4 linked regions of the Arabidopsis thaliana genome follow. The protein of the gene in region 1 interacts with the protein of each later gene in a pairwise test. Each region holds a gene or a part of one and is shown in the gene's direction. Other genes may lie near its edges. The genes, in order: ABCG13, AT1G31130, AT5G07340 and GB2.

Evidence for each region.
Region 2: the proteins of ABCG13 (region 1) and AT1G31130 interact in a protein complementation assay, tested with the Arabidopsis thaliana proteins (one large-scale study listed by BioGRID).
Region 3: the proteins of ABCG13 (region 1) and AT5G07340 interact in a protein complementation assay, tested with the Arabidopsis thaliana proteins (one large-scale study listed by BioGRID).
Region 4: the proteins of ABCG13 (region 1) and GB2 interact in a protein complementation assay, tested with the Arabidopsis thaliana proteins (one large-scale study listed by BioGRID).

Annotation. Positions count from the first base shown.
Region 1 is NC_003070.9:19,076,173-19,083,638, reverse strand, and holds ABCG13 (ABC-2 type transporter family protein), read left to right. Parts: upstream 1-2,187; 5' UTR 2,188-2,303; coding exon 2,304-2,490; intron 2,491-4,072; coding exon 4,073-4,152; intron 4,153-4,236; coding exon 4,237-4,698; intron 4,699-4,772; coding exon 4,773-4,895; intron 4,896-4,977; coding exon 4,978-5,139; intron 5,140-5,226; coding exon 5,227-5,511; intron 5,512-5,593; coding exon 5,594-5,866; intron 5,867-5,961; coding exon 5,962-6,069; intron 6,070-6,150; coding exon 6,151-6,507; 3' UTR 6,508-6,801; downstream 6,802-7,466. Other genes in the region: TRO (TRAUCO), read right to left, coding at 7,419-7,466.
Region 2 is NC_003070.9:11,113,549-11,118,030, reverse strand, and holds AT1G31130 (polyadenylate-binding protein 1-B-binding protein), read left to right. Parts: upstream 1-1,835; 5' UTR 1,836-2,102; coding exon 2,103-3,068; 3' UTR 3,069-3,338; downstream 3,339-4,482.
Region 3 is NC_003076.8:2,314,675-2,320,149, forward strand, and holds AT5G07340 (Calreticulin family protein), read left to right. Parts: upstream 1-2,538; 5' UTR 2,539-2,625; coding exon 2,626-2,736; intron 2,737-2,799; coding exon 2,800-2,869; intron 2,870-3,101; coding exon 3,102-4,237; intron 4,238-4,315; coding exon 4,316-4,387; intron 4,388-4,467; coding exon 4,468-4,578; intron 4,579-4,661; coding exon 4,662-4,784; 3' UTR 4,785-4,975; downstream 4,976-5,475. Other genes in the region: AT5G07330 (NFU1 iron-sulfur cluster protein), read left to right, coding at 1,390-1,407, 1,488-1,967; Tudor1 (TUDOR-SN protein 1), read right to left, coding at 5,347-5,369, 5,448-5,475. UniProt on the Arabidopsis thaliana protein: Calcium-binding protein that interacts with newly synthesized monoglucosylated glycoproteins in the endoplasmic reticulum. It may act in assisting protein assembly and/or in the retention within the ER of unassembled protein subunits.
Region 4 is NC_003075.7:16,985,960-16,991,301, reverse strand, and holds GB2 (GTP-binding 2), read left to right. Parts: upstream 1-2,254; 5' UTR 2,255-2,462; coding exon 2,463-2,508; exon of another isoform or gene 2,509-2,622; coding exon 2,623-2,762; intron 2,763-3,171; coding exon 3,172-3,254; intron 3,255-3,616; coding exon 3,617-3,821; intron 3,822-3,914; coding exon 3,915-3,983; intron 3,984-4,091; coding exon 4,092-4,184; 3' UTR 4,185-4,462; downstream 4,463-5,342. Other genes in the region: AT4G35870 (early-responsive to dehydration stress protein (ERD4)), read right to left, coding at 1-970; AT4G35850 (Pentatricopeptide repeat (PPR) superfamily protein), read right to left, coding at 4,621-4,719, 4,808-4,909, 5,013-5,090, 5,193-5,258. UniProt on the Arabidopsis thaliana protein: Intracellular vesicle trafficking and protein transport.

The DNA of each region.
Region 1 (7,466 bases):
CATTTATTGGCACTCTCTTAATTATAAGACTCAAAACAGTCCTTTTTTTGTTTTCAACAAAAACTCAAAACAGTCTATTAAGCAATGAAATTTCCATATTTTTGTAATGTAGGCTGTAAATTGACAAATAAACAGTACTGCTTCAAAAAGAAAATAAGAACATGGCTTCCCATAATTAGGGCTTTGGAAATGTTATTAACGGATATATAAATGTCCTTAGATCGAGAACCCCTTAATTAATAATTAACAGTAACACAGACTACTTTTTTCTATGGACTGCAGAATTTTATGGTCAAACCCACCCAAATTAAAAGCTAATTATATGTAAAATTCTATTGCACATATATTTTATTAGGATATTTCTAGCATTTATGGACCACAAGAAAATAATTATAGTTGTTTTTTTTTTGGTTAAACAAAAAATTGATTATAGTTATGATATGGAAAAGATGGAAGAAGTCATTTAATAAGTTTATCTAACAATCTATGATTAGGTTATCGCAGTAATGAATTTTCTTTCTTAGCAGAAATGAATAATTTAGTCACACTAACTACATAGCTTTAATTTCTGTTGATACAATTGAAGACAAGAAGACATAAACGTTGAAACAGTGTATTTGGTACTGTGTATGTGTTTGATTAGCACGAAACATGGTTAAAAACATCACATGGTTAAAACAAATCCGTCACCATCTGTTTTTTTTTTTTTTTTTACAACATACTTGTTTTCCATTCGTCATATCCGAAAGAGAATAAATTTGCAAGCTCTTCAAATTCATGGTTCGGTATTATAATCTTAAAAAAAATATATAAACTTACAATATAAATAGAACGATAGGTTTGATAAACAATAAAAATAGATGATAGGGGGCCATAAATAAAAACTCGAAAACAAAAGTTAAATAGCAAAATGCAACAAGCAAGCTCATGATGTGTCGAATACACTTCTGCAAACAATTTGGGGGAGATTAAAAATAGTCACTATAAAAAAAATCTTATGACGTTGAGAATCCGTCTTTTGCCTCAAAAATTACCAACACGAACCACATTGAAGCAGCAAGGAACATTGGACGGTTTCTTTCCAGAGGCAGAAACTAAATAGTATATCTCAATAAGAAATTTAACATACGACCAAAATTAATTGCTTTATAAAAATAATTAAAATATTAATGATAACCTTTTCCGTGGTTAATTTTCGGCCATTATGATAAAATAATTGATCCAATCATATGTTTACACAACATACTTAAAATTCCTTATATACTCTCTTGATTACTTTCTTACCAGTTACATAAACTCAATATGCAACAACTAGATTACTTTAATCTAAACGTTCTGATATACGGCCTTATGTCGATGTTAAGTTATATATATCACGTTCACAATGTATATAAATAATTCAAATAATTTTCCAAAAGTAATGGCGTCTAAATATAGTTGAGTTGAATAGTATAGACTCTCCTCATGGATTTGAATTTCCTCTGTGATTCGTTTGAAAAAAAACAATGTTTTGGAGTGCTATACTAGTTGATACACCCAACCAAATCGGAATTTTATAAAAAATTTGGACAAAATTACCAGAAAATAAAATTATTGCAATTTACGTGATATATACCCTAAAGTGTTATGTTTCCTTAAATCGTGTAACGAAACCATAAGTTTCTTATCATGCGGATGTCTGTAGCTCTCGACATATATAGTACCGAACGGGTCCAACGAGTAAATGAATATAACATCAAACGTCAATTTTTCTGTCACATGCCTCGTCTATGCATGCATGATAGTGTACATATATAATAGTTTCCTTTCTGTCTTTTACACTATTCTTAATCCACTTTTCTGTTTTGCATGGGTAGATATTTTGTTTTGGTTTCATAAAATAAATAGAAACCAATATCATTTAGTTTGGTTCGATTTTTCTTCGGATTCTAAATTTTTTTTATTTTATTTTAACTAAACTATATGTTTTATTTATTTTTAGTCATGATTTATTTTATATATCAAAAATATGTAACCGAATTTATTACATCTAGTTTTTTCCAATCACTTTCTTTGGTACAGTTTCGGTTTGACTCAAATTAGTTTAAACCAATTTGGACCACCCTAATTTATACATTTTTTTTTTCAAAGACCCTAGTTCTCTTAATACATTCACCGCACAACTTTTTATAACTATAAATAAGGCCACAAGCATTCACACACATTACACTTTTCTCTCCCAAAGAAACAAAAAAAAAAACTCTTAAGCTAGAACAAGTTTAAAACTCTTCGCTCAGTTTTCGATCTATCTAACAAAAGCATACATGACTACGCCGGAGGGGGCGATGTATGTGGCGTGGGAGGATCTTACGGTGGTGATACCAAACTTCGGTGAAGGAGCAACTAAGAGATTACTGAATGGAGTGAATGGTTGTGGTGAGCCAAATAGGATCTTAGCTATTATGGGTCCTTCAGGTTCAGGCAAATCTACGCTTCTTGATGCTTTAGCAGGTCCCTTCTCTCTCTCTCAGACACACACACCCATACATGTCAAGATTAGCTCGTCGTTTTTATTATGTATTTCTTTTATTGTTAAATGGTTTTCCTCTATTATATAAATCTCAAATAAGCTGAAGCAACATCGACCAACAATTAAAAGATATAGTTTTTAGAGGAATTTAACAACCAACCACATTTAGCTTTGAAACCAACATTAAAGGATGAGACTTACCCACTTTGAACCTAGTATTTAGTGAATCGTTCTATGTACTCTATATATATATATATATAACTATAATTAACAATATACATGACGTTATGTCTTTCTTTTAAAAAATTGTCCAAGGAAACTTTCTCAATATACTATGTAAAAAGTGTTTCACTTTTGGAAAATAAGAAATTTCTGTTTTCTTACATTAAAAAATATTCACAAATCTTTTAGTAATTTTTATTTGGAATTGATAAGGATTTCTGCCATTCGTAGTTAAATTTGAGAATATAAGTTAGAATTTATTTGTTAGATATATATATATATATATATATATAGGTGTATGTCTGTGCGTGGGTGGGTGTGTGTCCTATTCAACATAAAATATTTAATTATTATTAACCTGTAAATTCGTATGTAATCAAAATTAACTAATATGATACTTGATTAGTTTTTTGTATATTGGAAAAATACATTACTACAATAAAATTGATAACTTTCCTATTTGAAAGCAACAAACTATGTACATACTGTATCAGTATCACAATTTGGTGAAATGAAAATATTAACTGAAGTTTTTGTACTCTTCTGTAATTTTTTTTTTTTTTCTTCTGTAACTTTGACCAAACGTAACATATATATATGTAAAAGAAATTTGAGAGCATGATATAACATATTTATGTATCAAGATATTTATAACTATTGAAAAACAGTGCTATATTTATATCTAAGTTTCATGTACACGATGAGACATATATAGATATTTCTAACTTTATATTTATGGATTCTAGCTACCAATTTTATTTTTTAAGTATAGCTATATACTATCGGAGTACTAAATAAATATTAAAAAAAAAATAGTTGCAATTTTCATGTTCTTAATTAATAAATTTACATCGTCGTACATTTAGTATTGAATAAATTGATAGTTACGTTTCTCTAACGTAGACTATGTACAGAAATTTTGCAGTAACATTTCTTATTAAATCATATTTTAAATGTTAACCAACTACCAATCACCAATATTCTGACACAAATATTTAGGATTGCACGATCGTATCTTCATACCGACTTGCGATCTCTTCACAAGTTGAACCCGGTTTGGTGACTGGTCGGACTCTTTGAGGGATGTTACGTTCAATCCAAAAACAATCCAAATCGATTATTATTTTCTTGACCAAACCTAAATTTGATTGGATTAAGAAGATCTTTATTTTATGCTTATGACTAATCGAAACCAATTTAATTTTACTGTGGCTAATATTCTTGTAAAAGCGAAAAACCCAAAACCGGGTTATAAGATTGTTCTATCAATGCTATAAGATTGTTCAAAAACATGAAAGATTTAACATCTAACATTAAAAGGTAAATTTGGTGATGGTACAGGAAGATTAGCAGGGAATGTTGTAATGAGTGGCAAAGTACTTGTCAATGGCAAGAAGAGAAGACTTGACTTTGGTGCTGCCGTAAGAAAATTTATCTTTTCTCTTTAGTTTTTACCCTTTTACACAATCAAACTATTATTATTCATGAATGTCCTAAACTCTCAGGCTTATGTGACGCAAGAAGATGTGTTGCTAGGAACTTTGACAGTGAGAGAATCCATATCTTACTCGGCTCATCTCAGGCTCCCTTCAAAGCTTACCAGAGAAGAGATCAGTGACATTGTGGAAGCTACAATCACTGACATGGGTCTTGAAGAATGTTCAGACAGGACCATTGGAAACTGGCATTTGCGTGGAATAAGCGGAGGAGAGAAGAAACGGCTTAGTATTGCCCTCGAGGTCTTAACAAAACCAAGTCTCCTCTTTCTAGACGAACCAACTAGTGGACTGGACAGTGCTTCAGCTTTCTTCGTGGTTCAGATTCTTAGAAACATAGCAAGCAGTGGCAAAACTGTGGTTTCTTCGATCCATCAGCCGAGTGGTGAGGTTTTCGCCCTCTTTGATGACCTGCTACTTCTGTCTGGAGGAGAAACTGTTTACTTTGGCGAAGCAGAATCTGCAACAAAGGTAATAAGATAGAGCATTGGCAAGAGTATATAACCATTATGCTCATTTGTGTTGTTGTTGCTTCGACATTGCAGTTCTTTGGTGAAGCAGGTTTTCCTTGTCCAAGTAGACGGAATCCATCAGACCACTTCCTTCGCTGTGTCAATTCCGATTTCGATAATGTCACAGCGGCTTTGGTTGAATCTCGGAGAATCAACGTTTGTTTTCCTCTGCCCTTCTTGTTTTTTCATGAACTTACAATACTCTCAAGCTTTTGACCTCGACCTTTTACATCTGCAGGATTCATCTTTCTCTCTTCACCAACTACATGAAACTACAAACACATTAGATCCTCTGGATGATATACCAACTGCAGAAATTAGAACAACACTTGTCAGAAAATTTAAGTGTTCACTTTATGCAGCAGCTTCAAGAGCAAGAATTCAAGAAATAGCATCGATAGTAAGTTACGGTTACTACTTCCCTTAAAACTACAATGTATCACATAATGAGAGTCTCATAAGCACAGTTATAAACCTTGTGCAACAGGTGGGGATTGTCACAGAAAGGAAAAAGGGGAGCCAAACTAATTGGTGGAAACAACTCAGAATACTTACTCAGCGATCTTTCATCAACATGAGTAGAGACTTGGGGTACTACTGGATGCGGATTGCAGTCTACATAGTGTTATCCATTTGTGTCGGGTCAATCTTCTTCAACGTCGGGAGAAACCACACAAATGTTATGAGTACTGCAGCTTGTGGCGGATTTATGGCAGGCTTTATGACATTCATGTCAATAGGAGGATTCCAATCCTTCATTGAAGAAATGAAGGTAAAGAGCTAAACAGAGAAAAATTCTCTTTCTTCACCTAAAAACTTATCTTATGTTTTAGCATCTTTATTCCTGAAAACAGGTGTTTTCTCGCGAAAGGCTCAATGGACACTATGGGGTTGCAGTATACACTGTGTCTAATTTACTCTCCTCATTACCTTTCATAATCCTTATGTGCCTCTCCACCAGCTCAATCACTATCTACATGGTGAGGTTCCAATCCGGAGGTTCTCATTTCTTCTACAACTGTCTCGACCTTATCTGCGCGATTACAACTGTGGAGAGTTGCATGATGATGATAGCTTCAGTAGTCCCTAACTTCTTGATGGGAGTCATGTTGGGAGCTGGTTACATTGTAAGAGTGGCCTCTGTCGCTCTTTCACCTACAAGCTTTCTTATATCTCCAAAAACTATTCTAAATTGAAAACCGCTTTATCCTTCATCTCATAGGGAATTATGGTGTTAAGTGCGGGGTTTTTCCGATTCTTCCCCGACTTACCAATGGTGTTCTGGCGATACCCGGTGTCCTACATAAACTATGGTGCATGGGCACTACAGGTAACCAGGTTTTCTCAACTTTAAGATGCAGACTATATCGTCAAGTAGCTATCTTAAATGAGCATACCTGATAAATTGCAGGGAGCATACAAGAATGAGATGATTGGGGTGGAGTATGATTCTCCGTTACCCTTGGTACCAAAAATGAAAGGAGAACTCATTCTTCAAACTGTTCTAGGCATAAATCCAGAAAGTTCAAAGTGGTTGGATCTAGCAGTTGTGATGATGATTCTCATTGGGTATAGGATTGCCTTCTTCGCCATCCTCAAGTTCCGGGAAAAGGTTTTCCCAGTTATTCACATGTTATACACAAAGAGAACTCTGAGCCATATCCAGAAAAGGCCTTCTTTCAGAAGAATGACACCTTTCCCTTCCAGGCGATACCCTGTTCACCATGCTCTCTCTTCTCAGGAAGGACTTAACTCTCCACTGCATTAGAAGCATATACAGCAGGATGCAATTTCCATATATTTCAATATGTCAGATGTCACTCTCTTCAAACTTGATAAACTGTTTGTAGCCCGTTGTGTAAGGAAAAAAAAAAGAAAAGAGAGATACTATCATTCTGACTAATGAGATTTGTTTAGCATGAGGATGGTATCTATCAGAGATACATATATTGGAGAAAAAAGATAAGCATGGCTACATTATCAGATTACAAGTGATGCATGCATGAACCCCTAAGAGAGAGTCTACCAACGAACCACCGTAAATATATCAAATAAGGCACTTCGTTTGCTAACATAGCTTCAGAAGAAACTGTGTTATGGAAATCAAATAAACAGAAGATGGTATGGAGATTTGTTACCTGGCTGGCAGTAGAACACTGGTCCTTGCTTGATAGCACCAGTGACGCAAATCTATAATCTGTGCAGCACAAGAACAGAACAGACCAGGCATATTTGACTTTTATCACTAAGTGCCATGAAATCTCCTCTTTTAGCATATAGTTGATAGGGAATAGAATCAAAACTAACAAAAGTAACCTCCCAAAGGCGTTTGTTGAACAGATAGAGAACAAACAACGAGATACTTAAAACCTTAAAAGTGTAAAACCAAGCAAAAATGGTAAATTTTCAACTTTGGGAACCCAAATATAAGCTCCCAGAAATATTACATAGTAAGGAAAAAAAATACACAAACAATCAATAACTTTAAACAAATATGGCTAATCCAGTTGTAAAATCAGAAAAAACCAGTCTGATTATTTTAGAGTAGACATGTACAGAACTCATTTGTTGTTCATTTGCTACCCTATGACTGTTACAACTAAACTCATCCAAATCTGAACCAAGAACTAGTTTGGGAAAACTGTGTTAAAATGTCAAGAATACGCCTGCTGGTTCTGCCTAACTCTTCATATCCTCAGAACCATTAGTTTCAAGTCTACCATTAAA
Region 2 (4,482 bases), 8.0 Mb from region 1:
CTTCAATCGATCTATCTTTCTAAAACCCTAATTTCATGAGAATGTTAAACGAGAGAGTGAGATAGAGAAAGAAATGTGGTTGCTTTTTTTTTTTTTTTTTAGCAAATGAAACCTTGAGATCAACAGTTTCTATTTAGATAGGGACTGCTACTTTTGTAAGTATGGTTTGGATGGTTCATTAAATAATAATAGGTATTCTTACTAAATTTATTAAATAATAATAGGTATTTCTTTAGTTTGTGTTAGGATATGCTTATATTTAGGGAGAATTAGTTGTTATGACTTGTGAATTCGATTTAGGGTTTGAATGGTTATGGCGGTTGGGACGGACAAAACCGTCAACGAATCAGACTATTTTTATTTACAATTCATCAATGACCAAAAAAAATAGAAGAAAACCGCAGCGGATCATCTACGGACCGTTTTTACATACAAATAAACTTGGTCCGCAGCGGTTTATTGTTCGCCTCAAAAATGAGATGGACTAAATCGCAGACAAATTAAACCGCTTTGTCCGCTACCTCCATTCATAGTCTTACTGTTATAAATTACGTGTTGGGGTATTTATTTATTTTTCAATATTTTGATGATACACGGTCTATTATTTTTCTTGTAATAAGGCTTTAAGAGGCAAGTGTTTAGTTTAAGTATTGGTTTATTACATTCCATTAGTCATTCGATTAAAGTAGCTAGTGTAGAAAGAACCTAGTGCCAGAAGAAAAAAGATTAAAACACATTCGATTAAAAACACATTTGTTACATATCTTTATAAAAGTTAGAAAACCAAAACAAAAGTTGAAACTTGAGAGTATATAATCATGGACCGGCCGGTCTTGTCCATTTCTTATATTTCTCTATTCGAAATTGAAAGTATAATTAAAGAAATCGTGTGTGTAGGATAGTGCTTATACACCAACATTTGATTGCTAGTTCTATTTCCTTACGTAAACTTATAAGATCTCCAAATTAAACACATACAAAAAGTTACAAGTTCAATATTCATTGCAAAGATAATTTTCACATCTATTAATTATGTAAATTAGTAGTATTTAAGTTGACATGGACAGTTAACTGTTGGGACCATCGGTCCATGTGATTTCCCTGCACCTCAGATTCAGTGGAAGTAAGCATTAATCTTTGATTTTGTTTCTATCATAAATTAACTTCATCAGAAAATTTATTAATCCTATTTCAAACAAGGTCGTATCAATAAAACTTTTTTTTTTCTTCTTCGTATTAATAAACTTTTAACATCATTAATTTTCTGTTTGCTCTTTTTAAAGTTTTGATCCTGATTTCCTCATTATTACGTGAAAACAAATCAAAACATACATAATCACACATACAACCGAAATATCAAACCATTAAACTTTCATTTTTCAGATTACAATATTCAAAAAAAAAAAAAAAACAGATTACAACATTTCTGATATGTCGTTCAAATTAAATCATATTTATTCTTTGAACTTATTTATTTAATTTCAAAATGTAAATAAATAACATTAAAAAAATGTAGTACATATATATGTATTACAAATATGAAAATCTGAATACTCTTCTAGAGTATTCTTCACGGTGAATATTAGGTATTAGGTGCATAATTAAACTCTATCAAAATTAGATTTACCCTATCTTACCATTTCTTTGTAAGTATACAAGATTCATAAACTCTATAGAAAGTCTAGTTCCATGATTGCGTCTCAGCTCATGCAAAGAGAGTTGTGCTCATAAAACTTGACCAAATCTCCTTTTCCTTTTTGTCCATCTCTTTACCACTTACATATTTTCCCATAAAATAACGATTCCATCATATTAATTAAAGCAAAAAATAAACAATTAGTTGCCCCCCCCCCCCAAAAAAAAATGGTCACAATAACAATACTAGTCAAAACGTGTTATATGAGTTTCCCAGAAGTTTCCAAGGAAAAAAAAAGTCTTTACCCGTAAACATTTTTTCTCCATCTTCTTGATATCAACAAAACACACCTCAACAAAAAAAAAAAAACTTCATCTCTCTCAGATTTCGAAATTGACCCGTCGGTGATTCTTAATCTCTCCTCTCTGTTCTTCTCCGATCAAACCTCATTCCAAAGAAACAAACCATGGATCTCCAACCAGAAGAGCTTCAATTCTTGACAATACCTCAACTACTTCAAGAATCAATCTCAATCAAGAAACGATCTCCAAGAACCTTCTACCTCATAACCCTCTCCTTCATCTTCCCTCTCTCCTTCGCTATCCTCGCTCACTCACTCTTCACTCAACCAATCTTAGCCAAACTCGACAAATCCGACCCACCAAACTCAGATCGTTCACGTCATGATTGGACTGTTCTTCTAATCTTCCAGTTCAGTTACTTGATCTTCCTCTTTGCCTTCTCTCTTCTCTCAACCGCTGCTGTTGTCTTCACCGTCGCTTCTCTTTACACCGGAAAGCCTGTTTCTTTCTCGTCAACTCTCTCTGCGATTCCCAAAGTCTTTAAACGACTCTTTATAACTTTCCTTTGGGTTGCTCTGTTGATGTTTGCTTATAACGCAGTCTTCTTTGTCTTCCTCGTGATGCTTCTCGTAGCTCTTGATTTGAATAGTTTAGGTTTAGCTATTGTAGCCGGGGTTATAATCTCTGTTCTATACTTTGGTGTTCATGTTTATTTCACTGCTTTATGGCATTTAGGTAGTGTAATCTCTGTTCTTGAACCGGTTTACGGAATCGCCGCTATGAGAAAAGCTTATGAGTTGCTTAAAGGGAAGACTAAGATGGCTATGGGGTTAATCTTTGTTTATCTTTTCCTCTGTGGATTGATTGGAGTTGTTTTTGGTGCTGTTGTGGTTCATGGTGGTGGGAAGTATGGAACTTTTACTAGGACTTTGGTTGGTGGATTGTTAGTTGGTGTTCTTGTGATGGTTAATCTTGTGGGTTTGTTGGTTCAGAGTGTGTTTTACTATGTTTGTAAGAGTTATCATCATCAGACTATTGATAAGACCGCTTTGTATGATCAACTTGGTGGGTATCTTGGAGATTATGTGCCTCTTAAGAGCAACATTCAGTTGGAGGATTTAGATATTTGAAGATTTGTCAAGATGATGATTCTCTTGTACTGTTTTTCTTCTCTTATTACCATTCTCTCTCTCTCTTTGTAGTTTGTAATATTGGAGAAGAAGAAGAAATTTGGAATCTGAACAATAGTTTTAATGTAATGTGTATGTATTAGACTCAACACTCTTTGTTGTTGTTTTCATTTGATTATTATTACATGATTTGAGTTTACTAATTTATTCTTGTTGAAAGATGTGTTTTATTCTTCTCATGTTGATGATAATTATTATCCGTTAAAAATGTTGGGTTTTAGATGCTTAAATTGATAATAAATGAAGGAAGTGGCTTGTTTAGATATGTAATTAGCTGTAGGATTTGACCTTGGAATTAACCTACACTAAGTTAAGGTCGTAGGAGCAATTATTGTGGATACTTTTGTAATGTTTATAAATCTGAATTTTTGTTCGTGAGTGGGAGGTTTGGTTACACAACTTACACTAAACCGAATGGAAACCAAATTTAAAACTTAATTCAAAGAAGAAGAAGAAAACAAAAATACATCTTCATTCATTTTTAATCTGATTTTATCAATTTTTATTTTGTATTATGTGAATTTAAAGTTAGATGGTGATGTATCAACAACACTAACCCAAATAGTAACTAATGCTAAATATCGTGAATCATGATCAATGAAACAAATTTGGAATAATAAGTCAATGTGAATCATGCAATGTTTTGTTTTGTTACCCTGATCATGCATTGTTTTGTTTTGGAACAAAAATTGTCCTTTTTTTTGTTAATATATAAATGAATGAACCATATACATGCCACATAGATAACAAAATTTCGGTGAATCATGGAATGTTTTGTCAGCCTAAACTCCCAAGCAAGTATTGGTGGTACATCGTTTTGAGTTCTACTTCTATAGTTCTATGTAACCAAATATAAACTGAGATTTGATTGGGCCTTTTAATTCTGAAGTACCCAATTAAACTCTGGTTTCTAGGCCCAACAAGAACATCTTCTTTTACGAATTTTTATCAAGAACAAAATAACGTTTTTAAGGACTGCAAGCAACTTCTTATATTTCTTTGTCAAGTTTGTTGACTTATTTTTATGCGTCGAAAATTCTCATTCACGCTCAATATATAGTCAAGGATAAGATCGATTTTGTGACATACCCTATATTTGGACGTTAGATTCAACTAACATTGTACTAGCATTCGATCGTATGAAATATACAAATTCACTCACACATTAGCAAAGCCTTTGACAAAAAAAACACACACTTAACATTACTACATTAGCATTAAATATAGCGGATACATAAAGCACACATTTTTTATTGAAAAATACTATAGGCTTGTTAGTATAGATCCAAATTTTGTGATATGAACGAAAATTCTTGAGAAATGTTATGAAATAATATAGACTTAATTAATCAGT
Region 3 (5,475 bases), on another chromosome or scaffold:
GTTATGACCTACGTAGCTAGGTTTTAGTTTACAGTCGTGGTTAACTTAGAGACTCTTTGATCATCAATCAGTTAAGACCAATGCTTCTTTAAGCCATTTAGTTTATTCTTGATGATAAAAGTACGTAACATCATTTTTAAAAAATTGTGGTGAGTGAGTAAAAGTCACGATACAAAGAAAAATATTCATAGTTTGAAAAGAACGTAAAGTAGAGATGAAATGTGAATACGATTATATATATTGTTTACATAGTTAATGTATAGGCCTTTCTTTCTTTATATAGGATTGTAAAGCTCTTTACACCGCTTTATTTATAACAAAAATAGAAATGAGCAAATAATTACGTCGAATAAGCACTAATTCCATTAAAGTGGGAGCTAGTAAGCACCAAGCACACTAGTTCAACTCGTATCAATTTATTGTATTTAAATCAGTAGTTAAAACTTGTTTAATTTCCTCATTGAGAAAGATTTGCCCACTTTAGTTAAGTCTTATCCCAAATAGCACTTTAGTTAAGTCTTTATCCCAAATAACTTGTTTACTTTTACTTTTCTATTAAAATTATGAATAGTACTGAATTCACTATTTAAATAAAGGCACTATGAAATAAAAAGAACTCCATAAAAAATGCATTAATTATTTTATATTTCTTAAATATAGACAAACTTTATAGAATTAATGGCTACAATAAATATTACGTTGAAAATGTCGTTTTAATATTTCTCCATCTTTTTTACATAATATTTATATGAATTTAAATTTGAATGTCGATACAACGATAACACGAAGACGAGAAAATATAACTATTTTCATTAGAATTGACACCAAACATATTTAATCTCTTCATTTTTGTCTTAAAAACAAAAGAACATACTTTCGTGACATAGGTTCATTTAGTACTTGATGGATTTTCGTGCCATTGGTTCATTTACTCGATGCAAGGCACGGTTCCATCGACACAGCAGCAATGTGATTGTCACATGTCGCGTGGTAAGACGAGGGTTGCTAGAGCTTACCAGTAAAAGAAGATACACAAATTTTGGTCTTATCCATTAGGCATACAAATTTAAAATATAATTAATATCTCATATTTTTAATTTTGACAGAACCAATGAAATAAAACACGCGCATTACTGCAGTGAATCCCAATTATAAGGAATCTGATTTGACGTGGATCTTCAAGACACTTCCACGAATTAAACTGCATGTTCTTAAATGCTTACACGTATTACTTCTACAACTCTCTTCTCTACTCCAGATGTCTCCATCTTCCTTTTATATCCGATATCTAAAACGCTCTCAAGTATAGCACAATCCACAACAACAAAAAGTACAAATCTTACTCTTCTTTTCAGCTAGATTTTACTAATCACTCGCCAAGAACAACCAATGGCCGTTCGATCAACCGTAAGTAACCTAAGACGTCGTCGTTTCTCTATGATTCATTTGGTCTTCACGATTTGACTTTTATCATTTTGTGTTTGAAGGGTCACTTGAAAAACGTAGTGCAGAGGTTAAGAACTTACACGAAGGCGACAACCGTACCAAGATCCAAAGCGTATTCTACGGCGGCAACAGAGTATGGTGGCCAGAGAACCGCCACCACAGCGGCAGCAACAAAAGGTGACTTCACACCAGTTTACGTCTCCATAGGATTGATTTCATTGTCAGTAACATTTGGTGTCTACACTGCGTATCTTCATCTACATGAAAACCCTGGCGTACGTGTCAACAAGAAGATGAGAGAGACCGTTCCCGAGATCGAAGATCCAGATAGAGTTCTAAACGAAGCGGACCGGTTCGCTAACAGGTCTTGGTTTAGGAAAATAGCTCACGTTCAAGAGTTTGACAAGCAGGATGTGATCTCTGACCCAATCAGGAAAGACCAGTTTGCTCATAAACCTCGTGCCTTGACGCTTAAGGATGTTGGCGTTGATCCTAAGATATCGGCTGCTGCAGCTCACTAAGTTTTTATGAAGGCTGGTTTATGTGTTTTGTTTTCCATGTTTCTGTCGATAAATAAAACATCTGAAGGAGATCAAAGAGTTTTCAAATGGGTCGGTTAAGGTTTTATCCTGTTTCCTCTTGGATGTATTACAGTGATCAAGCAACTTTTGAGTGTATTTGTGTTGTTTCAACAGCATGTAAATTATCTAATGAAATTTCGGTCGAAGTAATAATACAACTTCGTTTTGCTTCTATTTTCTTCTGGATTAACGATTTTAGTAAAAATACTCATTTGGGAGAAACCAATTTCTTGGGTCTAGGTTTGAATGAGATAAAATGGTTAACTTCCTAACCTTCTAAGAGTGTCCGAGGATTCATTCGCATTCTAATTGGGCCCAGGTCAAGGCCCAGGACCAGGCCCTAGTGGGGTAAAATTTTGCACGCGTCGGTGCTTTGTTTTGGATGACTTGGCGAGAGGTGATAGGGTAGTGTCACGTTGGCGAGCGATATTCATTGGAAGATAACAATCAAAATGACGTTCGTAGGTCTAAGAAATACGAGGACTAAAGAGTAAAGAATATCTCTCTCTCTGATCTACTTAGTACTTACTTAGTAGTTACTTCTCTGTCTTATTTGATTTTGAGTCTCTGTTTTGTCTCTTCTCTTGAGATTGCGATAATGAGAGAACGGATTATTACATTCGTTTCGCTGCTTCTTGTAGCTTTGCTTTCGTTTCCCAGTGTTAGCTACTGTGACGACCAAACGGTGATTGGTCACTTCCTTGAAAAAGTTCCTATTTTAAAGATTTGTTCATCGAATCTCCAGTAACATGGTGTTTTTGTTGTTGTTCAGATCCTGTATGAATCGTTTGACGAGCCTTTTGATGGTCGCTGGGTCGTTTCAGAGAAAGCTGAATACCAAGGTAAAGCCATGTCGTCGTAGTGAATTCGTGTTTTGAATTTTTTGGTTTTCTTTCGTCTGTTGAAGTAAAAACAAGTTAGAATTAGTGTAATGGAAGTTACAATCAAAAGGGGGTCTTAAAGTTTTGGTTTTTATTGGAACAGATTTAGAAATGTTTACTTTTACTATAAGTGGATAAGAAACAGACTTTGTGTGAGCTCTTAAAAGGTTGCTTCTTATTTGAAATCTTTTAGGTGTGTGGAAGCACGAGAAGAGTGAAGGGCATGATGATTATGGACTTCTAGTGAGTGAGAAAGCTAAGAAGTACGGAATAGTTAAAGAGCTTGATGTTGATGAGCCTCTAAACCTTAACGAAGGAACTGTTGTTCTTCAATACGAGGCTCGTTTCCAAGAAGGGCTTGAGTGTGGTGGTGCTTACTTAAAGTATCTTCGTCCTCAAGAAGCTGGATGGGTTCCTCAAGGGTTTGATAATGATTCTCCTTACTCTATCATGTTTGGACCTGATAAGTGTGGTGCTACCAACAAGGTTCATTTCATCTTGAAGCATAAGAATCCCAAGAGTGGCGAGTTTGTTGAGCACCATCTCAAGTTCCCTCCTTCTGTTCCGTTTGACATGCTTTCTCATGTCTACACTGCGGTCTTGAAATCTGATAATGAGGTGAGGATTTTGGTCGATGGTGAGGAGAAGAAGAAGGGTAATTTACTGTCTGCTGAAGACTTTGAGCCTCCGTTGATTCCTTCCAAGACCATCCCTGATCCAGAGGACAAGAAGCCAGAAGACTGGGATGAGAGAGCCAAGATTCCTGATCCTAATGCTGTGAAGCCTGATGACTGGGATGAGGATGCACCCATGGAGATTGAAGATGAGGAAGCTGAGAAACCCGAAGGATGGTTGGATGATGAGCCTGTAGAGGTTGAAGACCCCGAGGCAAGCAAGCCAGAAGATTGGGATGACGAGGAAGATGGTGAGTGGGAGGCTCCTAAGGTTTCCAACACCAAGTGTGAGGCAGCACCCGGATGTGGCGAATGGAAGAGACCGATGAAGAGGAACCCTGCTTACAAGGGCAAATGGAGCTCACCTCTCATAGATAACCCAGCTTACAAGGGAATCTGGAAACCAAGAGACATTCCAAATCCTGATTATTTTGAGCTTGAGAGGCCGAATTTGGAGCCCATTGCTGCCATTGGTATTGAGATATGGACAATGCAAGACGGTATCTTATTTGACAACATCTTGATATCTAAAGACGAGAAGGTTGCTGAAACTTACAGACAAAGCACTTGGAAGCCCAAGTTTGATGTGGAGAAAGAGAAACAAAAGGCAGAGGATGAAGCTGCTGGTGAGGCAGATGGTCTCAAGAGTTACCAGGTATATTGATTTTCGCCACAAATTTGGAATGCTTATACATATCCTTTGTACTTATATTATGTATGTGCATTACTGCAGAAGAAGGTGTTCGACCTCTTGTACAAGGTTGCAGACATTTCTTTCCTTAGTGCGTACAAGTCAAAGATTATGGTAAGTTCTCATTTTCAGACTTTAGAAACATATTGTATAATGAAGAATCTTAAATGAGAATTTGCAATTTTCGTTTGTAGGAACTTATTGAGAAAGCTGAAACACAGCCAAACTTAACCATCGGTGTGCTCATTTCCATCGTGATCGTCTTCCTCTCTCTCTTCTTCAAGCTCATATTTGGTGGTGCAAAGGTAAAAAAAAAACATGTCAGTGAGATGTAATGTTTTGGTTGGCGGGTGTTTGAGTCTTAACGAAATTCTTGGTATGTATGTAGGCTAAGGTAGAAAAGAAGAAACCGGAAACAGCTGCAGAGACCTCGACAAGCGAGGCAAAGACAGAGGAGAAAGCAGAAGCGGTGGCTGCACCACGAAAGAGGCAGACGAGGCGTGAGAGTTAGATAAAAAGAGGATTAGATTTTGATTTTTGGGGCTTTTTGTTTTGATTTATCACCGTATAGACAAACAGTAGTGGACCTGATATTAAGACGATTATTGTAACATGTTTTTTTTGTATGCTTTTAGTTTCACATGAATCTGAATGTGGATCACAACATTTATGAGTTGAAATTTGATAAGTAATGGGTTGTGTACATCACATGCATCAGCATTATCAGTTTATCGTCTTTAGCTCGAGTGTTTACAACAAAATCTTAGCTTCGAGATTTAGACTTCTCTACCAAAGGGTCTTGATAGCCATGGCACGAGACTCGTATGATATACTAACCACAGTTAGGTCTGTTTGCAGAATGGATTCTTTGACAGAGCACGAGCTTCAGCAGCCAGAAGAGCATCATAAAGGTTTGATCGCTCTTCAAAATCTGTGTGTCTAACCACATTTCCAAAACCACGGGCAAGAACGAGCTCAGCACTATTCACCAGCTGGCTGACTGCCAGCAGATGATGCAGTCACTTCATCAGAAAATAAGACCAAAGTTGCTCCAACGACCATATCCTTCCTGCTTAGTCTCTGCTCTTTTTTTGTTCTTTCTAATGTCAGTGTAACATAAATAAGACGGCTTAAGGAATGGAAAGATAAGTTGGACCAGAAAACACACAAAAACTGTAAGCATGGTTCAAACTTCCCCTTAT
Region 4 (5,342 bases), on another chromosome or scaffold:
CAGCTCTCAGTTCTTGCAGCTTCCTCAGTTTTTCATCATCTGTAAATCCAAACCTCTCTGTAATCTGAGACCACAAAACCTTCACCCTAACCCACAAAGAACACACACAGAACACTAGTCCGTTATCTCCAACATTCTCATACTCATCCGGTAGAAGCCTAGAGTCCATCTTGGCAACTAACCAAGTAATCTCATCTCGAACACGAACCAACTCTGTAGCAAGATCATCCAAAGCACACAAATCCATGGGAACAATAAACTTATAAACTTTCCCAGGGTACTTCAGCCTAAAGCAATCTTCAAACTCAACTCTATCAGACCCTAAATTCTTAGGCAAACCCTGCACCATTATAGTAAACACAGCAGTAGAATTCGCGTTCGGGTCACTGATATTCCCATTCCCATCTCTAAACCTAGTAAACTTCAACCTAGCTTCAATAGCAGCGATTCCAAAATGCGAGATAACAACAACAATAACAACAAACACAAAATGCAGCCAAAGCAAAGCTGAACCTTTCTGAATATGCGTAATCATCGTTTTCGAAAGCTCATCACTCAACAAAGCAGTCCCAGCATATAAATTCAACGGAAGCATAACCGAAACAGCTAAAACAGCAATGGAGAAAAGAAGCACAAAGCTTCCACCTTCAATTAAAAGAAACTGAGCAGCATCAGCACCACAGTGACGAGCGATCTCGCGACACGTGGCTTTCCAAACGGCGAGGAGCTTAGAGAAGAGAGCAGAAGGACCAGGCATACGACGGTGGTCGCTGCGTAGCTTAACGAAGAGAAAGATGGAGACGCAGCATAAGAGACCAATGACCGAGATATTAAGCAGATACTGAATGTTGCCGTACCAAGCATCTGGGATTTCAGGTAAGTCGCCGGAAGATGGAGGAGGAGAGAATGAATTATCTATTGTCATTGATGAAATCGGTGGCATCGCAGCTGGTGAAAAATTGCGATTCATCGCGAATTTCTCAACCAAATTGAGAAACCCAAATCTTCGAAGTTTCTTCAGAGATTCAGGATTTATACAACAAGGTTTTGATCAGGAGAAATTTGGGGGCTTTAGGGTTAGACTTTGGGGGAAGTAGATCGACGAAGATGATGGCAAAAGTAGAAAGGTAAATAGAAAAGGAGGAACAAGGAATGCTATCGCGGTTTCGAATCTCTCAAAAGATTCTTCTCCTTAAATCATGAAATTTAATCCCATCTTTTTAAGATAAATACACCCAAAAAAAACGAATTAACACAACTAAAAAATATAAATAATTTGATAGAAGTATATCAAATTGGTAATTTACAGAGTTTTTATGAATAAAACGATAGTTCTTTAAACGATAATTACATATTCTCTAAATATTTCGTGATTAGTAGAATAAGAGAATATAATCAAATTCATAACTCTTGTATATTCATTTTAATCAAATTCTCCTTAAAGCATGAAATTAATCAAATAATTTGAAGGTAAAATACCCAAAAAAATACGAAATAACATAACTAAGATCGGTTTGAGTTTGGGATGAAATAACATCCCCTGTTCTCTAATGGATGGAACTCTGTTTCGAATTTGCTTCTCGAATTTGCCATTGTAGACTATAAGCATTTGTAAGGAACTCATCTCTAATGTAGGATTTGAGTTCTTCTTATCTTCCCACTAGAACATTCATCTTAAACACAGTTATGTAATTTCCATAAGAGATATGAAACAGAGCATACTACCGTGATAATCCGGACACAATTGATATTAGTAGCCTTGTATCAAGGTACGTGTGTATTCCCCATCATATAATAAAAGAAGCTTTTGCTAATGCAAATTTCTGGTAAGTTCACAGTTTTGATGTGCAAGTTCTTTTGTATCATCAATTTAGCGATTATGGACTGCGCCATGCTTCAGATGAATAGAAAAAAGAAACTTATGCTGGTCTCGAAATCCACTAACCAAGCCATTCAACATCAAAGAAAAAAGCCCACATTATAAAAAAATAAAAAAGCCCACTTTAAACTATCAAATGCCCAACAATGGATGATGCACTAGTCGAGTCAGAGTGGACGGAGCCAAAGGCAGAGATGGATTTTAAGCTTTAATTTGTTTCCCAGATATTTTTCATCTGGTCCCTCTGTTTTTAAATAATTAACTAAAACGACTATAATAATTAATAAATTATACTATAGAGTATTTTGTGTGGATTTTTATTTACTGTTGAAACTTAAGGATACAAAAGAAAAACAATTATTCAGATAATTCGTCATTAGATCCCTTTAATTTTAGTAATTAAGTAAAAAGATTATAAAAGATGAGAAGGAGAAGATAGCTTCTTCATCGAGAAACCTCGAAATCAAAAAGCACGTCGGTGACTTGTACTCTTCAATCTCTTCTTCCTCTCTTTCACATCTCCTTCTCTCGAACCCATCGACCTGCGCTAATTCATCATCGACCTTGCTCAAATTCATCAACCATGTCTTACGATTATCTCTTCAAGTACATAATCATCGGAGACACAGGTGAGAGACCGATCTTTCACCTTTCTTAATTCCCAATTGTTTTATTTTTCTGGGTTAAATCCATTTCGTGCCGATTTTCATGTGTTTTCGTTGTTGTTTTTTTTGTCGTTTCAGGTGTGGGAAAATCGTGTCTGCTTCTGCAATTTACTGATAAGAGGTTCCAACCAGTCCACGATCTCACCATTGGTGTTGAGTTCGGTGCTCGGATGGTCACCGTCGATGGACGCCCCATCAAACTCCAAATTTGGGACACCGTACGCTTCCTCTCTCTTCTCTTGGTCGTAATTAGGTCATCAGGGAACTAATCACGTTTTATCGATTAGGATTGTTTTTTTTTTCTCCCTAAGGCAGGATGTGATTAAGAAGATTAATTGTCATAATCAATTCAATTTCTTCGTTTTTATATAAACAATGCCTCATTAGAATTGCCAATACCAAAAATTATGTTTGAAAATCATGTCCAGAGACTCAAAGTGGGGTAAAATTTCAAAAAAGTTAATCATTGCACGGTTCTTGATTAAGTTTCATAGGCTTATTGTAATAGAAGCTGAGTTCACCAGTGCATTCCTTGTTGTGATTTCTTCTGGTCAATAGTTCTTCCATTAGATGATGTATGTGTTGGAGTTGTGCTTTCTGATTAAAGTTTCGTATGATATTTTTTAGGCTGGACAAGAATCTTTTAGATCCATCACCAGATCATACTACAGAGGAGCAGCCGGAGCTTTACTGGTTTATGACATCACCAGGTTAGTTTTTGCCTTGCGACAATATATATCAGCTCGAACTTCTGAATTCCCCAGCAAGGTTTTGGAAGTGATTGGTTCTGTATTTGTGATTTGATAAACCTAGACTGTTGGAAAGGTTTTGGAAATTGGGAAGTTACTTTTATCTGAACAAAATCCTTGGCTATAATATTGGCAATGCTTGTTTGGGAGGATGTTAAGTTAACCATCCATCTTAAATTCTTGCTAAAATAGATATTTTTCCTCCATTGTTTTGGAATTTTGAAAGTTATGAAGGACATGAAGAATTGCAAGAGTTTTATCATTGAGGTTTTTCATGCTTTGATCTTTCTGAAGCTCAAAATTCTTGGTTCTTTGGGTTGCAGGAGAGAGACGTTTAACCATCTGGCAAGCTGGTTGGAGGATGCTCGGCAACATGCAAATCCTAACATGAGTATTATGCTGATTGGGAACAAATGTGATCTTGCTCACAAGAGAGCTGTTAGCAAAGAGGAAGGTCAACAGTTTGCCAAAGAACATGGCCTGCTATTCTTAGAAGCATCTGCAAGAACTGCTCAAAACGTTGAGGAGGTGACATTTCTTCCTTGCAACTCTTTTTCCCCATCCTGTTATTTGGCTGTAATCACATGGAGACTTTTGTCTTCTTTTTCTGGATTCCAACAGGCCTTCATAGAGACTGCTGCCAAGATCCTCCAGAACATTCAGGATGGTGTCTTTGATGTATCCAACGAGGTAATTTCCTTGTTGAATCTGGCAATATACTTAGTCTTCTGGTGTTCTCTAATCCCTCGATTGTGTTACAATGTGATTCAATTCCCTTGGTCTCTCTAAATTTTGCAGTCATCAGGTATCAAGATTGGTTACGGGCGTACTCAAGGTGCAGCTGGAGGAAGAGATGGTACGATCTCTCAGGGAGGTGGCTGTTGTGGTTAAAAAATCCTCGAGAGAGGTGTCACATATCTGCTGTAATCTGGTGATTCAGAAACTACTATTGCTTCTATTTACCTCTGCAAATGGATACACCAGAATGTATAGTTTCTCTTTCTTTCTTTCTTTTTTTCTCTTTTTCCCAGATTGTCTTTTATCAAAAAACCAAACGGGTGCATTTAAGAGTGAACAGGCTGATCTTTATAAACCAAACAGGCGTTGGCTTATTTAAAACGTTGTCGCTTTGTATGAAGCTCTCAAGGTTAAGTAATTGAAATCAAATCAGAATAATATCCAGTCATCATCTAGGTGAAATTTCCTTATTCATCTAAACGAACTGGTTTTAAAATACCCAGATGGTTCACAGAGATCCCAATAAGCAAATAGAAGTAGAAAACGAAGAAGCCATGATACCATCTTTCTTCCTCTTGGTCCCTTTGCTTTAACGCCTATTAGGTAATGTCCCTTCCCTAAGCCGCAAGTTATTGTATGTTCGCGTCACTAACATCAGTCTCGGATCATCCTCTGGTATTTCGCGTTCCTATGATTACCACACCACAAAAACCATCAATAACTAATACCAAGAGAAAGAAAGTTTGTGGTCAAATAAGAAAAAGGTTTTTTATTACTTTCAAGCCCTTGTAGTAAGCTTCAACAGCAGCTAGTGTTGGTAGAATATTCCGAGCTAGCATCAGATCCCATATCATATTTGCAACTGTGTACCCTCCCGTCTGCCATAAAGAAAATGTTTTTTTTTTTTTAACTTTCACTAAGCCAACTCTTTATATCAGTAAGATATTTCCAAAGTTTTTAGGGGAAGTTCAAGATTTTTACCTTTTCACCAGCGGCTTTGAGTAACAGATTGCTTCCAGTTCTTGGGTCTAAGAAGAAATTGCGTTCGTTCATTTGGATCTGCATTTACAAACAAATTGTCATCAGGCTCTACTATTGGCCCGTGTTTTGTTTACTTCATAGATTCTTTTTTTCAGTACAGCTCGAGCCAATAAGCATTACCAGAGTGTCCTGAGCAATCTTCATTCCATTATCGGTGTATCCTGTCATAGCTCCTTCTATAAGCGTCTGTAAAAATAAAACAAATAAATTGACATCTTCAGCATATACATATCACCCAAAGATATGTTGAACCAAGTATGGGAAACAGGA